2 linked regions of the Drosophila melanogaster genome follow. The protein of the gene in region 1 purifies or fractionates together with the protein of each later gene. This does not show direct contact. Each region holds a gene or a part of one and is shown in the gene's direction. Other genes may lie near its edges.

What was found.
Region 2: the proteins of TfIIFalpha (region 1) and TfIIFbeta purify together in Drosophila melanogaster (affinity purification with western blotting; 2 studies listed by BioGRID, with this or other methods). This does not show direct contact.

Annotation. Positions count from the first base shown.
Region 1 is NT_033777.3:6,378,830-6,383,364, forward strand, and holds TfIIFalpha (transcription factor IIFalpha), read left to right. Parts: upstream 1-1,637; 5' UTR 1,638-1,766; coding exon 1,767-1,790; intron 1,791-1,856; coding exon 1,857-2,776; intron 2,777-2,852; coding exon 2,853-3,440; intron 3,441-3,498; coding exon 3,499-3,700; 3' UTR 3,701-3,775; downstream 3,776-4,535. Other genes in the region: CG1024 (uncharacterized protein), read right to left, coding at 1-1,125, 1,189-1,335. UniProt on the Drosophila melanogaster protein: TFIIF is a general transcription initiation factor that binds to RNA polymerase II and helps to recruit it to the initiation complex in collaboration with TFIIB. It promotes transcription elongation.
Region 2 is NT_033777.3:10,765,999-10,769,656, reverse strand, and holds TfIIFbeta (transcription factor TFIIFbeta), read left to right. Parts: upstream 1-1,852; 5' UTR 1,853-1,957; coding exon 1,958-2,494; intron 2,495-2,559; coding exon 2,560-2,856; 3' UTR 2,857-3,035; downstream 3,036-3,658. Other genes in the region: CG45076 (uncharacterized protein), read left to right, coding at 354-555, 621-1,440. UniProt on the Drosophila melanogaster protein: TFIIF is a general transcription initiation factor that binds to RNA polymerase II and helps to recruit it to the initiation complex in collaboration with TFIIB.

The DNA of each region.
Region 1 (4,535 bases):
GGTCTTGGTGCGATCGCAGAGTGTGCACTTGAGGTACGACCGGTAGGGCAGATGCTTGAAGCAGTGCTTCTGCAGTTGTGAGCGCACGGTCGTTGGTTGCACCTCACGGCACTGCAGGCACATGGCCTTGCGCCCGGACTCCAGGATCTTAAAACTGTTCTCGATTATGTGCTCGAAGTCGTGCTTCTTGAATACGTGTGCCCGCCAACCGTCCATCGAGGCGATTTCCTTGCCGCACTTCGGACACAAGTACGATATGAGCTTCGTGAGGCCGTTGGTGGACATTTCCGTGTCTGAGTCGCGGCTGGGCGTCGTAGAGATGCGTCGACGCTTAGTCGGTTGACTTATTGGGTCCGACTTCATTTCCTTCTTCAGCTGGGCCACTTCCTCCTTGCCGAGTGCATCGATCTCGATGATGACCACCTCCTGATTTCCTTGCTGCAGGTGCGCATCGTCTTGCTGCTGCTCCTCATTAGCTTCTCCTTTGCCGGCGGAGGGGCCATCATCAAAAAACTCCTTGCAGAGCGCATCCAACTCGTCGTCATACTTCGGCACCACCTCTTTCTCCTCCTTGCGCACGATGTCCTCGTAGGCATTCAAACACCGATCTAGATTCAGCTCGCTGACATTTGAAATGGGCTTAGGTTCGTTTACAGGAGCCGCTAGTGCTGTCACTGGGGACTTTTCCATTTCTGTGTTCAGATCAATGTCCATCAGCGCCTTTTGCAGCAGATCATTTTGCTTTCTGTTCGTGGAACCTTTGGGACGCCCACGCGGCTTCACAGCCATCGGCTTCTCTGCATTTCCAGCTGGTGCGGCCGCTGTAGTGGGTTTCGCCTGCTGCCGCTTCATCTGGCGCAGCTTGTTCTCGTACTTCTCGATCTCCCGCATGTGCGTGTCCAGTAGGTGGACGTTCAGAGCCCGGCGCCTCGTGTACGCCATGCGGCAGTGCACGCAGCGGTAGGTTTCACTGTGCTCCAGATGCATAAAGTAGTGGTACTGCAGGAGGGCGATTGTCTTGTGGGCATTCTCCACCCATTTGAAGCACAGCTGGCACTCATGGAATCGCTCGTCGATCTGGATGAAGTTGAAATCTGAGTACGTCTTCTTTAGATAGTCGTGTTTCTGTGGGCACATTTCAAACCATTATTAAAGCAGAACTTGATTTGCACAAAACCCGCAACTTGCCGTGTTCAGATGCTGTCGCCACTCCGCCTGAGTGCGGAACGCCTTGCCGCATTCCGGACATATGTAAACCATGTGCGCCTCCAGACGCGCATTAAGCCGACTTTGTTCATCCGAGAGCGTCACGTTCCGCGACATTTTCCCTAACATTTAAGCGACAAACTGCAAATGAAATCCAAACAAACTAGACAGCGCTTTGTGAATTTATCGTTATTTGCTATGGCGACAATCGTTTATCTAAAAAGAGGTAATCGATAACCGTGACTGTGAACGGATATCGGCTGTCACTTTATTTTGATAGAACATTACAAAACTTTGAAGTTTTTAAATACCTTGTAGGGCTTGAATATGCAATCTTATAATATCTACTTTTCCAATTTGTTTATCAAAATCTCTTGGAATAAATATTATTTTTCTGCCCAAACGATACGATACACTTGCTTCCAAAGAATAACTGCACTTCTGTTATCGGACATCGCTAGAAAATCCAACTTTTCTGCCCGCGCCGCGAATTGTAAGAGTTTGGGGAAAAGTATAAAATATCCAGATAGAAGCAACATATGATTAGCAAACATTAAGCCATGTCGAGCGCGTCAAAGTCGACGGTAAGTCTTTACCCTGCCGCTTCCGGCGCCAACACTTATTTGCGGTCTTCGCTTGATTTCATGCAGCCGAGCGCTGCCAGCGGGAGCTCCACGTCCGCAGCTGCCGCCGCCGCAGCCTCTGTCGCCTCAGGATCCGCCTCGTCATCCGCCAACGTGCAGGAGTTCAAGATCCGCGTGCCCAAGATGCCCAAGAAGCACCATGTGATGCGGTTCAACGCCACGCTCAATGTGGATTTCGCGCAGTGGAGAAATGTGAAACTGGAGCGGGAAAACAACATGAAGGAGTTCCGGGGCATGGAGGAGGATCAGCCCAAGTTTGGTGCTGGATCGGAGTACAACCGGGATCAGCGCGAGGAGGCGCGCCGCAAGAAGTTTGGCATTATAGCGAGAAAGTACCGTCCAGAGGCACAGCCATGGATCCTTAAAGTGGGTGGCAAGACTGGAAAGAAGTTCAAAGGCATCCGCGAGGGCGGCGTAGGCGAGAATGCAGCTTTCTATGTGTTCACCCATGCACCAGACGGCGCCATTGAGGCATACCCCTTGACCGAGTGGTACAACTTCCAGCCTATTCAGCGCTACAAATCGCTGTCGGCGGAGGAGGCCGAACAGGAATTTGGTCGGCGCAAAAAGGTGATGAACTACTTCTCCCTTATGTTGCGAAAGCGTCTGCGCGGCGATGAGGAAGAGGAGCAGGATCCGGAGGAGGCTAAGCTAATTAAGGCAGCCACCAAAAAATCCAAGGAGCTCAAGATCACTGACATGGATGAATGGATTGATTCCGAGGATGAGTCGGATTCGGAGGACGAGGAGGATAAAAAGAAGAAGGAGCAGGAAGACAGCGACGATGGCAAGGCCAAGGGAAAGGGCAAGAAGGGCGCAGACAAGAAAAAGAAAAAGAGGGATGTTGATGACGAGGCCTTCGAGGAGTCGGACGATGGTGACGAGGAGGGCAGAGAAATGGACTACGACACCAGCTCCAGTGAAGAGTATGTGCCCCAAACGATTCTGATAATGGCAATACAATTTGGACCACATCTACTAATTTCTTATACCCTATTCTAGCGAACCAGATCCAGAGGCAAAGGTGGACAAGGACATGAAAGGCGTGGCCGAGGAAGATGCGCTCCGCAAGCTGCTTACCTCCGATGAAGAGGAGGATGATGAGAAGAAGTCTGATGAGTCGGACAAGGAGGATGCCGACGGCGAGAAAAAAAAGAAGGATAAGGGCAAGGACGAGGTATCCAAGGACAAAAAGAAGAAGAAACCCACAAAGGACGACAAGAAGGGCAAGTCGAATGGCAGCGGTGACTCGTCCACAGACTTCAGCTCTGACAGCACAGACTCCGAGGACGACCTTAGCAACGGACCGCCCAAGAAGAAGGTCGTCGTCAAGGACAAAGACAAGGAAAAGGAAAAGGAGAAAGAGAGCGCTGCGAGCAGCAAGGTCATCGCCAGCAGCAGCAATGCCAATAAATCTCGCTCGGCCACTCCAACGCTCTCGACGGATGCCAGCAAGCGCAAGATGAACAGCTTACCCAGCGATCTCACCGCTTCGGACACAAGCAACAGTCCCACCAGCACGCCAGCAAAGAGGCCTAAGAACGAGATTAGCACATCGCTGCCCACTTCCTTCTCTGGCGGCAAAGTAGAGTGAGTAAAGCCGTGATATACTGGAATTCCTAATTCTAATTTCATGTATTTTGTTTAGGGACTACGGCATCACCGAGGAGGCGGTGCGTCGGTATCTTAAGCGAAAGCCCCTGACCGCCACCGAGTTGCTCACCAAGTTCAAGAACAAGAAGACGCCTGTCTCCAGCGACCGTTTGGTCGAGACCATGACGAAAATCCTGAAGAAGATCAATCCCGTCAAGCACACCATCCAGGGGAAAATGTATCTCTGGATCAAGTAGCCCGCAGTCATGTGATTTTAATGTTTCATAACTCAAATGCATTATTGTTCAACACAAAATATAAACGCACCACTGAAAATCGGTTAATTTTCTTGGTTAATTCGAAAAGGCAAGTAGTATTTTGCACAGAAACTGATTTTAACCAATTCATTGTATTTGTACTTCTAGAATCTTAAAAACTAGTTATTAATGCTATATCTTAGTATTATATTTCTATATGGTTTCAGGTTCTGAAGTTGAGAATTCTAAATTCTGTACAATGATCTGAAACAGTTGCTGAGAATACTGGATTTTAATATTTTTAAAATTTTAGTCGATAGCTATCGAAATATGGGAGTAATCGATGTACGAAAACATCGCCGTCAGGAAGCCAGCAGCAGCTATACATCGATTTAGTTCCAGCTCTAGCCCTGTATATGTGTCTGTGTTCGGGTGGGATGTAAATTCTAATATCCGATAATTAGAAAAGTGAACCAAACCCAAAGCGTTCTTATCGCGACTGTCATGCTCTTTTCGCAGCCACTGCGCTGTCCCCGCTGAACCACGACCACCAACTAAAGGAACCCGAGGAGTCCGAGCCCCAAAAGGGAGCAAAACAAAGTACAACGCAATACCAGTGCGATGGCGACGAGTGAGGAGGCGAGCGAGTGCTGAAAAAATAGGATTGGATACAGGAACTGGCCAGAAGTCGCTCCAAACGGTCAACTAAGAGCACGAGAAGCCCTAATCAAGTGAGTGACCAGTGGATTTACGCGAATGGGCGTCGGGAAAGCAAAAGGAAATCGCTCAGCTGCTTTGTTGTTGTGCTAATTGAACGCACACAAGCACAGTAGCA
Region 2 (3,658 bases), 4.4 Mb from region 1:
TACTTCATATACTATTTTTTTGCATTTTGAGATGTATATATGTATGTATGCTTAACCCATTAACCACATTTTGGTTCAATTCTTCATACCCAGAACTTTTTAAAAACTCCCATTAATGCCACACAATACTCTAAAACATTGGCGTCTACTGTATCTGCAATTTTCCTTGCCTCGTCTATAAGAAAACCAACAATCGCCGATCCTAAGAGTAAGTATTGTAAGTATAAGTATAATGTATAATGACATTAGCCGAGTGAACAACAAAGTGAAGGATATTTAATGTAAAATGAAAAATAAGATACAAATGCATAGGCACTGTGGTGAAGGCTCTTCTGACAAGCATTACATTTCAGATGCCGAGTTGGATCCTAACCGTCCATCTAGAAAATTTTCTGCCCCTAGGCCCCTGGAGGATCCCCTCGATGTGGAGGCCAAGGAGAAACAGCGTCTGCGCCAGGAGCGTCTTCTAACCGTTAACGAAGAGGCTCTCGACGAGGTGGACTTGGAAAAGAAGCGTGCCCAGAAAGCCGATGAAGCCAAGCGTAGGGAAGAGAGGTGGGTGCTCACTACCTACACCAGCTCATAGCTCATTTCCTATTAAATTTTTGATGTTTCCGAAGGGCTCTCAAGGAGGAGAGGGATCGCCTGACGGCTGAGGCCGAAAAGCAGGCTGCTGCTAAGGCCAAAAAGGCTGCCGAGGAGGCCGCCAAAATCGCTGCCGAAGAGGCTCTCCTGGCTGAAGCTGCCGCCCAAAAAGCAGCCGAAGAAGCTAAAGCCCTAAAAGCCGCTGAAGATGCTGCCCAGAAAGCTGCCGAAGAAGCGCGTCTAGCGGAGGAGGCTGCCGCCCAAAAGGTCGCCGAGGAAGCTGCCCAAAAAGCTGCTGAGGAAGCTCGCCTAGCAGAGGAGGCAGCCGCCCAAAAGGCCGCCGAGGAAGCTGCCCAAAAGGCTGCCGAAGAAGCCGCTTTAAAGGCAGCCGAAGAGGCTCGTCTGGCTGAAGAAGCTGCCCAAAAGGCCGCCGAAGAAGCCGCACTGAAGGCTGTAGAGGAGGCTCGTGCCGCCGAAGAAGCTGCCCAAAAGGCCGCCGAAGAGGCTCGTGTCGCTGAAGAGGCTCGCCTGGAGGAGGAGCAGCGTGTCCGTGAGCAGGAGCTGGAGCGCCTGGCGGAGATCGAGAAGGAGAGTGAGGGAGAACTTGCTCGCCAGGCCGCCGAGCTGGCCGAGATCGCCCGCCAGGAATCCGAGCTTGCCGCCCAGGAACTGCAGGCCATCCAGAAGAACGAGAACGAGACCAGCGAGCCTGTGGTCGAAGAGCCCGTCACGCCCGTTGAGGAACAGGAACCGATCATCGAGCTCGGCTCTAATGTTACCCCCACTGGTGGTAATAGCTACGAGGAGGATCTCGATGCGGAGGAGGAGGAGGACGAGGAAGAGGAGGAGGAATAGATTCTACACAATCACCATGCTGTCAACCTAATTTAAAAAGAATGAAAAAACAATAAAAATATTAGAAAAACAATTTAATAGGGCAATGGGGTGGATAATGCTGGATAAGGTGTCACATCAATTCATAAATTCATCTTAAATCAATACAATGTTGTGTTCTAAATTTAGTCATAAAATTTGCTGAATAAATCAAAATTAAGATATCATATTCTTTCTAAGACATTTCATTATAAAAGTTATTTCTTATGTTCTAAAGTTCTTGCTAACTATATAAAATTCAGATATGTAAATAGTTCTATTTCGTTATCTGCACTTCGGACTTTTTCAAACTTGGCGCCTAATAATAACATAACGAATAAATACCGAAAGAAAAATACCGTGATATACTAAACTAGCATTTTTTCGAAACTGTTTATTCGACCGCACTAAATTTACGGCAAAACAACAACAACAAGCAAAGCCGAAAACGGTACAAGTGGCTTTGCAAATTCGTTTTTAATAATTTAAAGCAAACAGAATGTCGAAGGAGGATAAGGAAAAGACACAGATCATCGACAAGGACCTGGACCTGTCCAATGCTGGGCGAGGCGTATGGCTGGTGAAGGTGCCCAAGTACATTGCCCAGAAATGGGAGAAGGCGCCGACGAACATGGACGTGGGCAAGCTCCGGATAAACAAGACACCTGGCCAAAAGGCCCAGGTCTCGCTTTCCCTCACGCCCGCCGTTTTGGCTCTAGATCCCGAGGAGAAAATACCCACCGAGCACATCCTGGACGTGTCGCAGGTCACCAAGCAGACGCTCGGCGTATTCTCGCACATGGCACCGTCCGATGGCAAGGAGAACTCGACTACCTCGGCGGCACAGCCGGATAACGAAAAGTTGTATATGGAGGGCAGGATTGTGCAAAAGCTAGAGTGCCGACCCATCGCCGACAACTGCTACATGAAACTAAAGCTGGAGTCCATACGCAAGGCATCGGAACCACAGCGACGTGTGCAGCCTATCGACAAAATCGTGCAGAACTTTAAGCCTGTAAAAGACCACGCACACAACGTGAGAACAATAATACACTCTGTTTTGGTAATATATATGTATATATAACTCCTCCATTCCTGCAGATTGAATATCGGGAGCGAAAGAAGGCCGAGGGCAAGAAGGCGCGCGACGACAAGAATGCCGTGATGGATATGCTCTTCCACGCATTCGAGAAGCATCAATACTATAACATCAAGGATCTGGTCAAGATCACCAACCAGCCGATTAGCTACCTGAAGGAGATTCTCAAGGATGTCTGCGATTACAATATGAAGAACCCGCACAAGAACATGTGGGAGCTCAAGAAAGAATATCGCCACTACAAGACTGAAGAGAAGAAAGAGGAGGAGCACAAGTCAGGCAGCAGCGACTCGGAGTAGCATTGGGAGAATCGCCGACTTACTTTCATTAAAACACATTAAGTAATTGCATGGTTCCGTTTTATTCCTTAAGAACTACACGTTATACTTACGAAAAAAACATTATATCTTAAAATGATTGTAAATAGACACTAGCTTGCACTCTGGTAAATACATACGTATATATACACTTTATCCTTAATTTATCTTGAACTTTGTCTTATGTCCGAAGAGTTCTTATGTTTATACTTTTGTACAGACGAGATCAGGTACTTGAATTTAGTACTATCAGCTCATGAGGATTTCCAAAACACGCGCTTCGTCAATCAAAAAGTCATTTGTCTATTTTTGTTCTAAATCAAAGGAGGTATAGTGTTAAATTTTTAGGAAATCATAGAAATAATAAGAATACGAAATAAATCTATTCGTAGGTAAAGTAAAATAAATCAAAAATGTTCAAAAGAAATAGAAATTAATAAAAATGTGAAAATTTCATAAGCAACTAAAAGCGTCGTAAAAAGTTAAAAAAGTGAAGTGAAAGAAAAACTAAAAAACGGCTTCATGCTTAGGAAAATCGAGCTTAGATAATACTGGTTTACTACTCTAAAGAAATATTGATTCATACATCGATAAGCTTAAGCTAAAGCATTCTTTCTATTGCAAGCTTCCTAATAATACGTAACTAAAACTTACATTTGTACACGATTGCGGGTAAATAATCTGGCAAGAACATATATCTAATGCAGCCTCTTGATCTTGTTGTACCGCATGGGAAAGCGCATTGATCTCTCGGCCTGAAAATAATATACATAAAAATTGAATT